2 linked regions of the Daphnia pulex genome follow. The protein of the gene in region 2 purifies or fractionates together with the protein of the main gene of each other region. This does not show direct contact. Links are inferred from orthologs where the notes say so. Each region holds a gene or a part of one and is shown on either strand. Other genes may lie near its edges.

Region 1 (4,289 bases), on a different chromosome or scaffold from region 2:
GTCGACGAAGTTGACAGTATCTGTGACCTTGACTGTTTCTGGGATTTCACCATATGTCTTCAAGTTACGGGCTTCATCAGCGTTGTACTTGAGGATAACGTCAGCCTTGGCATCTTGGTAATCTCTCAGGCCAACCAGGATGATGTCACCCTGATTGATCCAGACCTGTCGAAAATAAAATAAAAAAAGATGATTGACAACTCAGAGTGCCACAACAACAATCGGGACTGACCTTCTTTCTGAGCTTCCCTCTGATGTGGCAAAGCCTCTTGGTTCCATCGAAGCACAAAGCTTCAAGTCGACCATTACCCAACATTTTCGTAACTTGTGCATATTCTTGGCCATCTTCTTTGAAGATCAATTCTCTTTTCTCAGCTTCGTTCTCGTTCTTTCCCCTCCTGCGATTTTTACCTCCTTTACCTAATAAGACAGAATCGGATCGGAAGAGAAAGTACGAATTATAAATCAATTAAAACAAACGACAAACACTTGAAACAAACTGTTCGGGAGATGCACGAACGGTTGAAACTCACCTTTATTCTTGGGCATGTTGAATTTCTCTGAGTAAACTAATAAAAAGCTGAGATTTCAACACACACATATGTCTCACCACGCCAGATACTCTCAATGGACGTGCTGAAAGGAAAGAAACACCAACTTCTGTTTAGCCCCTGGACGTCAACAACGTTGCCATTTTAATCAAATCGAATTAATTTCTTTTTATGGTGATTTTTACTTTTTTTTTTTATTTTTGACACATTCAGGTTGTTAAAAATGAAAAAAAAAGAAGAAGAAAAAGAATGTATGTATATATGATTAGAGAATACGATCCCAACGCCAGACGGTAGCGTCATCACAGACGCAAAGTAATACATGGCCATTACGGCTCAACGCAGTCTGACGAATAGCCGAGATGCATTTGGGATGTGTCAAAACTAAATGGCGAGATGCCATGGGGTCGTCAGTGTCGAGATCCCACACAAAAGTCTTGCCAACTTGATTGCCCAGCGCCATAACCTGTTTCCAAACGACCAATAAAAGTTAACAGAATTGAAATAAATTTAAATAAACACATGGTGCACTACAAAGTTCAGATGGTATCTGGCTTAAATTTCTTTGAAAAATCAAGACCCACCTTGTTCCAGGAATCCAGTGAGAATCGCATGAACCAGATGTCACATTCGCGATAGTCGAATCGGTGTAGTACCGTTACGGCGTTATTGTTCATGACTCGTATGCCATTGTTCGCCAAACGGCCAGGTCGCCAACAAACTATGGTATTCTCACACGACTAGACGATTAACACATAAAATAAAACAAAACATTAATTGCTTGAGAACGTACGAAAGAGGAAATAAAATTGAGAATTTATGCCTTTGACAGCACGAAATCGCCCAGCCAGCGGACACAGTCGACGTAATTGCGGTGAATGTCACGCGTCGAAAAGTTGGGGAAATTTTCTTGAACGGTAGCGAATGGCCTGGAACTTTTGCTCGGTGCAAACGTGTAGGAATCGCCAATGGCTTTTTCAATGGCGTCCGTGTCAAGTCGCCACAGTTTCAGCGAGTGATCCATTCCGCACGAGATAACCCGACGACCCTCCAGATCGAAATCGGCGCTGAGAACTTCGTCCCGATGGCCCTCGACACCGCCAAAAATTGCGATGCATTGATCGGTTCTTATGTTCCAGAGCCGAAGGGCGTGATCCTTGGAAACGGACAGAAGTAGATTGGGATCGGACGGGTGAAACTTTAATTCGTTGATGGCGTGTCCATGACCTATTAATTTTTATTTCAAAATAAAATTTTTATCTCAATTTTAGTACAAAGAGTTTCATTATTCCAATAAACGTCATCTGCTTACCGACGTAATGTTTGATGCTATTCATGGTAGCTGGGCTAATTATGCGAACAATTCCCCTGGATCCAGCAGCTGCCAGAATGGGTTTGCCAGTTTCTTCATCATAGGACCATGCACATGTGTAAAAGTTTTCTTCTATCTGTATTAGATAAATGGTGATTGATAAAATGATGTTATACAGGATGAGATAATTAAATAGTTACATCAGGGTCTGCGTACGTCTGGAGAAGCTTGATCCCTCCAGTATCTGGGCACTCGTACACTGATATCCTGTGACTGCCAACAGTTGCAAAAACCAGAGGTTGGCCATCCCTCAGCAAGTGATTGAATTGGACACCGAAAAGTGGTTGGCCATGATCTTCTTTGATAAAGGAGCTAAAAAAATTAACATTAATACAATTTAAAAGGAATTCAACAACACGAAAATCAAATTACCCAAATTTGTAGTTGATTTTTGGTATTTTGATGCCCTTCTTTCTGCCGGGCTTTCCCCGTTTTTTGGGTTTCAAAGTTGGAGTGTCACTCCTTGAGGCAGTATCCAAAGTTGAAGAACTGCCAATACTGCTAGCAGTATCCTCCTTTTCACGTGCCAATCGAGAAAAAACATTTTAAACCCAAGAATTCTATAGTTATAAACAGAAAGCAGTATCAAGCTGATTACCATGTCATCCCCTGAAAGTTCCACAGTTTCAGTGATATCCATTTGCTCGACTGATCGTTTTGACGCCATATTTAACTTGATCAAATACAGATAGTTAAAACAGATTTCAAGTATCCAAACTTTGGTTATTGTCTAAAAATGTGCTTGTTTTATTTCTGGCAGTTTCGAAAAGAATCCATAAACAAAGCCGACGACGCCGTTCCCGCCGATGGAAGCCTCTTCTGACCAATTTCGGAACTATTTGCAATTTCGCTTTTTTCTTTTTAAAAAAATATGAACGAACGTGAACGTGCGTGATAAAAAAAACTTTCAAGCGGAACAAATACTCGGGTACTCGAGTTACAAAGGATTTGGTCAAATAACATTTCGTTGTTTTTTAGAAAACTTTTGCTGGTGCGTTATTGGCGCTTGACGATATTTGATATTTTTATTATTAAAAGTTTGTCATTGATGGCTGGCAAAATATTTCCAGTGTTGAAATACTTTTTACGCTTTCCAAAAGGGTTTTCGGTGGAGGGTGAAAATCTAAAAATAGTAAAACTTCGTGGAAAAATCGAACGTAGCGGAACAGAAAAGATTTTCGCATCAGCGATTTCCCAATGTCTTGGAAGAAAAATGAGTGTGCATCACTTGACAACTGAATCTCCTGTTCTTTTTTCTTAGTAAAAAAAAAAAGAATTATATTAATTTCAAGAGAAAATTCCGACATCTTGTGCTGCCACCTAGCGGATTCCGCATTTTGCACACGCAACCACCTTGCCGGAGGGGAGGTGAAACCACAAACAACAAGAAGAAGAACCGCTTTTTATTTTTCTTATATATTTATAGAAAAACGTGCAAGCCCAATTTTTGTCCATCGTGACCGTCTTTTTAATTTTTCTTCAAGGTCAAAAATGTCAAACAGATTTTTTCAAAATTTTTCATATGAAAATATTAAGAAATTCTCAATTTTATTGTTCCACCAAAGAAAAATAATAAAACACAGAGCACATACGAGAAATTTATTTTCTGTGGTTATTAATAAACATTGACGACAATTAATAATATTTCAAAAAAGCCTGTTGATCTAGCTTTTTATACTTGAGTTGTCTAAATGTTTGTTTTAATCCCATCTTATTTTTCTCTCTAAGGACTTTTTTTATTCAATATATCATTATTATTTTAGCTAGAAAAAAAAAGGGAGAGGAATTTCATTCAGCTGCTTTGGCTGTCAGAATTCACGTGAAAACTAAAAAAAAAAGACGAAAAAACAGGTTTGTACTTGGTCCGTAGCGCCAACTCAACTAGAGACCCCGCCCTTTCCAGTTTATTTACCGGAGAAAACGGCGGATGGTCCTTGTTCACAACACACAACATTCTGCTGCTGCACAGCAAAAATTCTCACTAGTTCTTTTCTCTCTCTCGTGACATTCAAACGAACTTGAAAATACACATCCTCTTGCTTCACCAAGGACAAACACTTGATCGCTATTTATAATAAGAAAATTATGGGGTTCGTCAGAAGAAGAAGCTCTATCATTTTTTTGTAGTTTTTTGTGTAAAGTTATTAGCAAATATGTGATTGGTCGCCTATTCTTTCTCAAATGCCGCACCGAGTGTTTCCACACATACCAAAAAAAGCCGGCAGTTATATCGAAAATATGTAGCTAAATTATTATCCATTATTTAATTTTTTTTTTTCATTTTTTTTAATTCACTTTTGGATTTGGGGGGTTAGGTGTAAAATTATCAACCTAATTGTATCCTAACTCTCATCTCTCGATGTGTG
Region 2 (4,256 bases):
CGACGACTATGGTCATGTTACATTTTCAGTGTCCCAGTGTATTAAATACTGCGCGTGCCCTTTAGACAGTACCCTACGAGCGTGCACGGTGTACTTCTCACCCCGCGATACACGCTCTTCTATGCCAAAATAGCTTAGAATAGATTCTTTGGGAGTTGGTTGATAGGGATTGGTTTGGGGACTCGTGAATCGAAATGAAGTGTCTGCGCTAAATAGTGCACTAGCCAAATCTGGTTGAGAAGATCGCTTCCATTTCCGCACGAATCTCTTACGCTTGACTTCGCCAGTCTTGGTAATTCGAATATCCTTTTCACTTAAACGCGTCTTCAGTGGACGAACGAAGAGATAACCAGAGCTGCGCGGAAGATTCTGATTTTGGGTAGATAAATTGCAGAACGGATTGTTTAAGCCGTCAAAGTTTTGGGGCGGTGGTATGAACATGTCTAAAGTTCCCTTCGAAGACGTTTCGTCGCAACTGGTTTCTACCGGAGTGGTCAACGAAGCTGAAAAGGATGAGACACTGCTTGAATTCTCTTCTCCTCCGTTGGTCCGTTTACGCTTGTTGGTCTTTTTGCTCGATAAGACCATCAACTTGACTTCGTCAGAACTTATTTCACAGATGCTCTCCTCAGATGTTGCTCTTTGCTGGCGAACCCGCAAAGTACGGTGAAGTTCAGGATCAGACGGTCTTGCTCGCTTTTTGGAAGGTTTTTCTCGTTCTTCACTCATTGCTAGTGACGAATGAGCTCTCTTGTTTTTACGAAACCCTTCAGTCTGTTTCTTCATGACCGGTGGGGTCGGAGAAATTTTCCTGTACAACAATTTCGATTGATGACATTTTTAACTTTGAAAAGTTAATAAATAGCAAGTACTTACTCGACAACTGTGCCTTGGGGAATCGAATTGCGTTTTGTCCACAACTGTAGTGTGTGTCGGGACTGTGGGGCTAATACAGAAGGAAATGTAGAGGGCAATTGGAAACGCAATCCCCACATGGTCTTCTTCTTTTTCAATTCTCGTCCGCACATAAATCTGATAAGATAAAAGATGTTGAAGCAAAATTCTTCATAAAGTGTAAGCAAAACACATTTTACCGGTTTTTGAACTGCCAGAAAGCGGCCAGTATCCTGGTTCGTTTTTCAGTGTCTGTCAAATGTAATAGCTAGACGAGAAGAAAGAAACATTGAATTTTTGAATAACAGTCAACAACAGTAACGAAATATTGTACCTCGCCGGAAGGGTGGAAATATTTCCAGTTATTCTCTATGAACGGTAATATGCTCATATCTAGATCGTGGTATTTCTTTGTCGTTTCCAGAGTCAAATTGAAAAGTGCAATGTGAGCCATATCCGCTAGGGTTAGCTCTTCACTTAATCTCATGAGGCGTTCTTCGTTGCCATTGTTGCACACGGAGCACAAGAAAAGAAAAAACCTGAATAACTCAAAAGGTTAACTGATTTGTTCCTACAACATTTTAAGGAAATTTTTACCTGTCGCCGTATAACAAAGGTTGCTTTAAGATAGATATGCATTCACCGTGAAACCATTGCGAGCATCCACAACACTGCAGCATTCGTTTAAACCATTCACCCAACTGTCCACAATAGCAATACTTTTGCTCAGCATTTGTGAAATGGTTTGCATCCCACCTAAGATTCGCCAACTAGATGCGAGAAAGATGAAATGTTGCATTAAGAGTTATTCCACATTGTTGTTTTATACACCCTTACGTCGTACGGAAAGCTACGTCTTTTGCGGATCGTGTTGGAAGAACTGCTGTTGTTGTTGTTGACTTTACCCCGTATATCTGGTTGCGAGTTGGCAATCTTATTTTTTTCCCTAGCTTGCCTCTTTTCCATGCATCTCATGCAAAGCCAATCTGTTTCTCCATTGGCAAACTGGCTTGGTAATGCAGGCTTTTTTGGAAAAAAAGTCAAAGAAGGTTACTAAAATGCTCACACACTGATTACTAAAAATAATACCTCATGACAGCGTTGATGGTATCCTCTTCTGCAGCAGTGACACAATAATATTTTATTACTAGAAGTAGACTGTATACTCTTGCACAAAATGCATGAAATATCAGTTTCCTCTTGAATTTTAATTTTTCTTAGATCACAAAAGTGAGCCCATCTTTCAGTATCATCTCCAAACTGAATAAGACACTTTTCTTGAAATGTGAGAACCTGCAAGTATAAATTTATAATAATACTTTTCGGGGAAGTTGAATGCACTAGCAAAAATACCTGAACAATTGTGCCAAAAATGAAAAGTCCATCTTCATCATGAAGAAGTACATCTTCACCTTCAGTAAATGTTACACGATCAACGGTTGTAGAATCTGGTGCTACAGGAGATTCATCTTTGGTCTAAAAGAATAATTTCTTGTTATTAACCGTGCTAGCAATTTAGAAATTTTTAATGAAACATACCAAGGCTTTGTAAGAATGTGACATGTTGAGGCTGCAATCAGGTTTGTCGTTGGACTTCAACCACCTTATTCCCCTCACCTGTTGCTTAACTCTTTCTAGTCACTTGGCAAGAAGAAACATATTTGTCTTCAATTAATTAGTTTGGTCCAGAACACATCGAATGAATTAAATCTGAATTAGCATTCGAAAATCATTTAAATTTACACAATCGGTCTAAAGATCCATTCGTTATAAATATGAGGAGCACTCTTTGGTTATTTCAAATAGTGAAATCGTGAGATACTGATTAAACTACCAACGAACATTAACGATAACTTAACAGCGGTTGAAAACTTGAAACAGAAACGTCAAAGTTTGAAGGAATTTTATCGACAGTTACCACTAGACGCCATTTAACCTTGATTTTCAAGCCTAGCGGACGAATGAGAAACCGGTATTAGAGCGGGAAGCGAAAATTTGATTTCTGTCTGTTTTTGTCTGTTGTCTTTTCGTTTTTTTGTTGTTTTCAGTTTAATGAATTATTTATTTTTTCTTGATGATGTCCACATTAAATTTACTAAAGCAACTATAAAATCGTGGATTAGCTTTTCGCCAAAATGTAATTATCATCAAATCTAAAATAGCTTATATAGCTGATTCCGAATTTAAGATCATCTTTAATTCTCATAATATACTTCAAAAGTGAAGAAACGATGCCATTAGAGACAGCATTCGTTTCAAGAAATATAGTTAAATGGGCTAGCCGTTAAATGAATTTAGAAAATTAAATATTTCTGCATTTTAAACTTGATGAACAAATAACAAAAAAAGGCGGATTATGACGTATTATTTTGTTTATTCGACACACTGTACTATTTTGATCAAGGTTCACTCGAAGGATTTTTGTGCTAACATGTTCGATTGTGGTACCAACAATTAAATTAGATTAGGAAGCAAAATCCATTAAGCTCAACTGGTTCCATAACTAGTTTTTGCTGTGTAACCTTTTTCTCGACAATTTTCCGCTGTTTATTTTGAATGAACATCGGTGTTCGTCAAACGTAATAAGACATGTACTGCAGAGCATGTACTATAACTAGGGGCGACCGAAGAATATTCTTTTTAGAATGGGAAAATTCCACTGGTTTTCTGCAGGAGAACAATGATAGCAAATAGTTTCGGAAGTAGATTATGAAAAAAATCTAGATAATATTTAAAACAAATTAATTTAAACAATAAAAAAATTCCGGGAAAAGTTGCTTCAAACCCATTTTAAAAAGTTATCGAGTACGTCAAATATACTGGTGTTAGCCTCAACATCATTGATTAGACAACAATCAAAGCCAACAAGTACCGTTTACATTTCGCGGTATTTTTTTTATTCCATGAAATTTTTTGCTTTAGCCTTAACATCATTGACTAGACATTCTGACATTCAAAGCCAACAAGTAATTTAAAATAAAAAGTTATTGAGTACATGATAACTGAATACTTACCTACTGGCGTTAGCCTTAACATAATTGATTAGACATTCAAAGTCAACAAGTAGGCTACATCTTAAATTCCATTCACGGTAACATATTTCGAAATTCAGTTAACAAGGAATTAAGCGACGAAGTAGATGTCAAGGAAATCAAGCCGAGCTTAGGTTACGCCTTGTTTCATCTACCCTGGTCGAGTGCCTTCGGCAGCAATGGGAAACATGCCCATTTAATTATTGGCGACCAATATATCCTTGATCAATGCGATAATGATTTAATTCATGAAATATCAGTTGATAATCGAATGTGTTTTCATTTGCCGAACTCGAACAACATTTAGCATCGGGAAAAATCTTTAAAGAA

The links.
Region 1: the proteins of metal-response element-binding transcription factor 2-like (region 2) and polycomb protein eed-like purify together in Homo sapiens (affinity purification with mass spectrometry; 3 studies listed by BioGRID and IntAct, with this or other methods). This does not show direct contact. The link is inferred for Daphnia pulex from reciprocal best matches to the Homo sapiens genes MTF2 and EED.

What each region holds. Positions count from the first base shown.
Region 1 is NC_060028.1:332,047-336,335, forward strand, and holds polycomb protein eed-like, read right to left. Parts: upstream 2,781-4,289; 5' UTR 2,591-2,780; coding exon 2,522-2,590; intron 2,439-2,521; coding exon 2,296-2,438; intron 2,236-2,295; coding exon 2,064-2,235; intron 2,000-2,063; coding exon 1,864-1,999; intron 1,779-1,863; coding exon 1,375-1,778; intron 1,292-1,374; coding exon 1,136-1,291; intron 1,018-1,135; coding exon 817-1,017; 3' UTR 550-816; coding exon of another isoform or gene 534-549; 3' UTR 532-533; downstream 1-531. Other genes in the region: eukaryotic translation initiation factor 1A, Y-chromosomal-like, read right to left, coding at 1-165, 233-420, 534-549. UniProt on the Homo sapiens protein: Polycomb group (PcG) protein. Component of the PRC2/EED-EZH2 complex, which methylates 'Lys-9' and 'Lys-27' of histone H3, leading to transcriptional repression of the affected target gene.
Region 2 is NC_060025.1:2,645,796-2,650,051, forward strand, and holds the start of metal-response element-binding transcription factor 2-like, read right to left. Parts: upstream 2,854-4,256; 5' UTR 2,638-2,853; intron 2,536-2,637; 5' UTR 2,458-2,535; coding exon 2,434-2,457; intron 2,371-2,433; coding exon 2,248-2,370; intron 2,188-2,247; coding exon 1,984-2,187; intron 1,918-1,983; coding exon 1,732-1,917; intron 1,665-1,731; coding exon 1,492-1,664; intron 1,434-1,491; coding exon 1,229-1,433; intron 1,163-1,228; coding exon 1,095-1,162; intron 1,033-1,094; coding exon 877-1,032; intron 812-876; coding exon 13-811; 3' UTR 1-12. UniProt on the Homo sapiens protein: Polycomb group (PcG) protein that specifically binds histone H3 trimethylated at 'Lys-36' (H3K36me3) and recruits the PRC2 complex, thus enhancing PRC2 H3K27me3 methylation activity.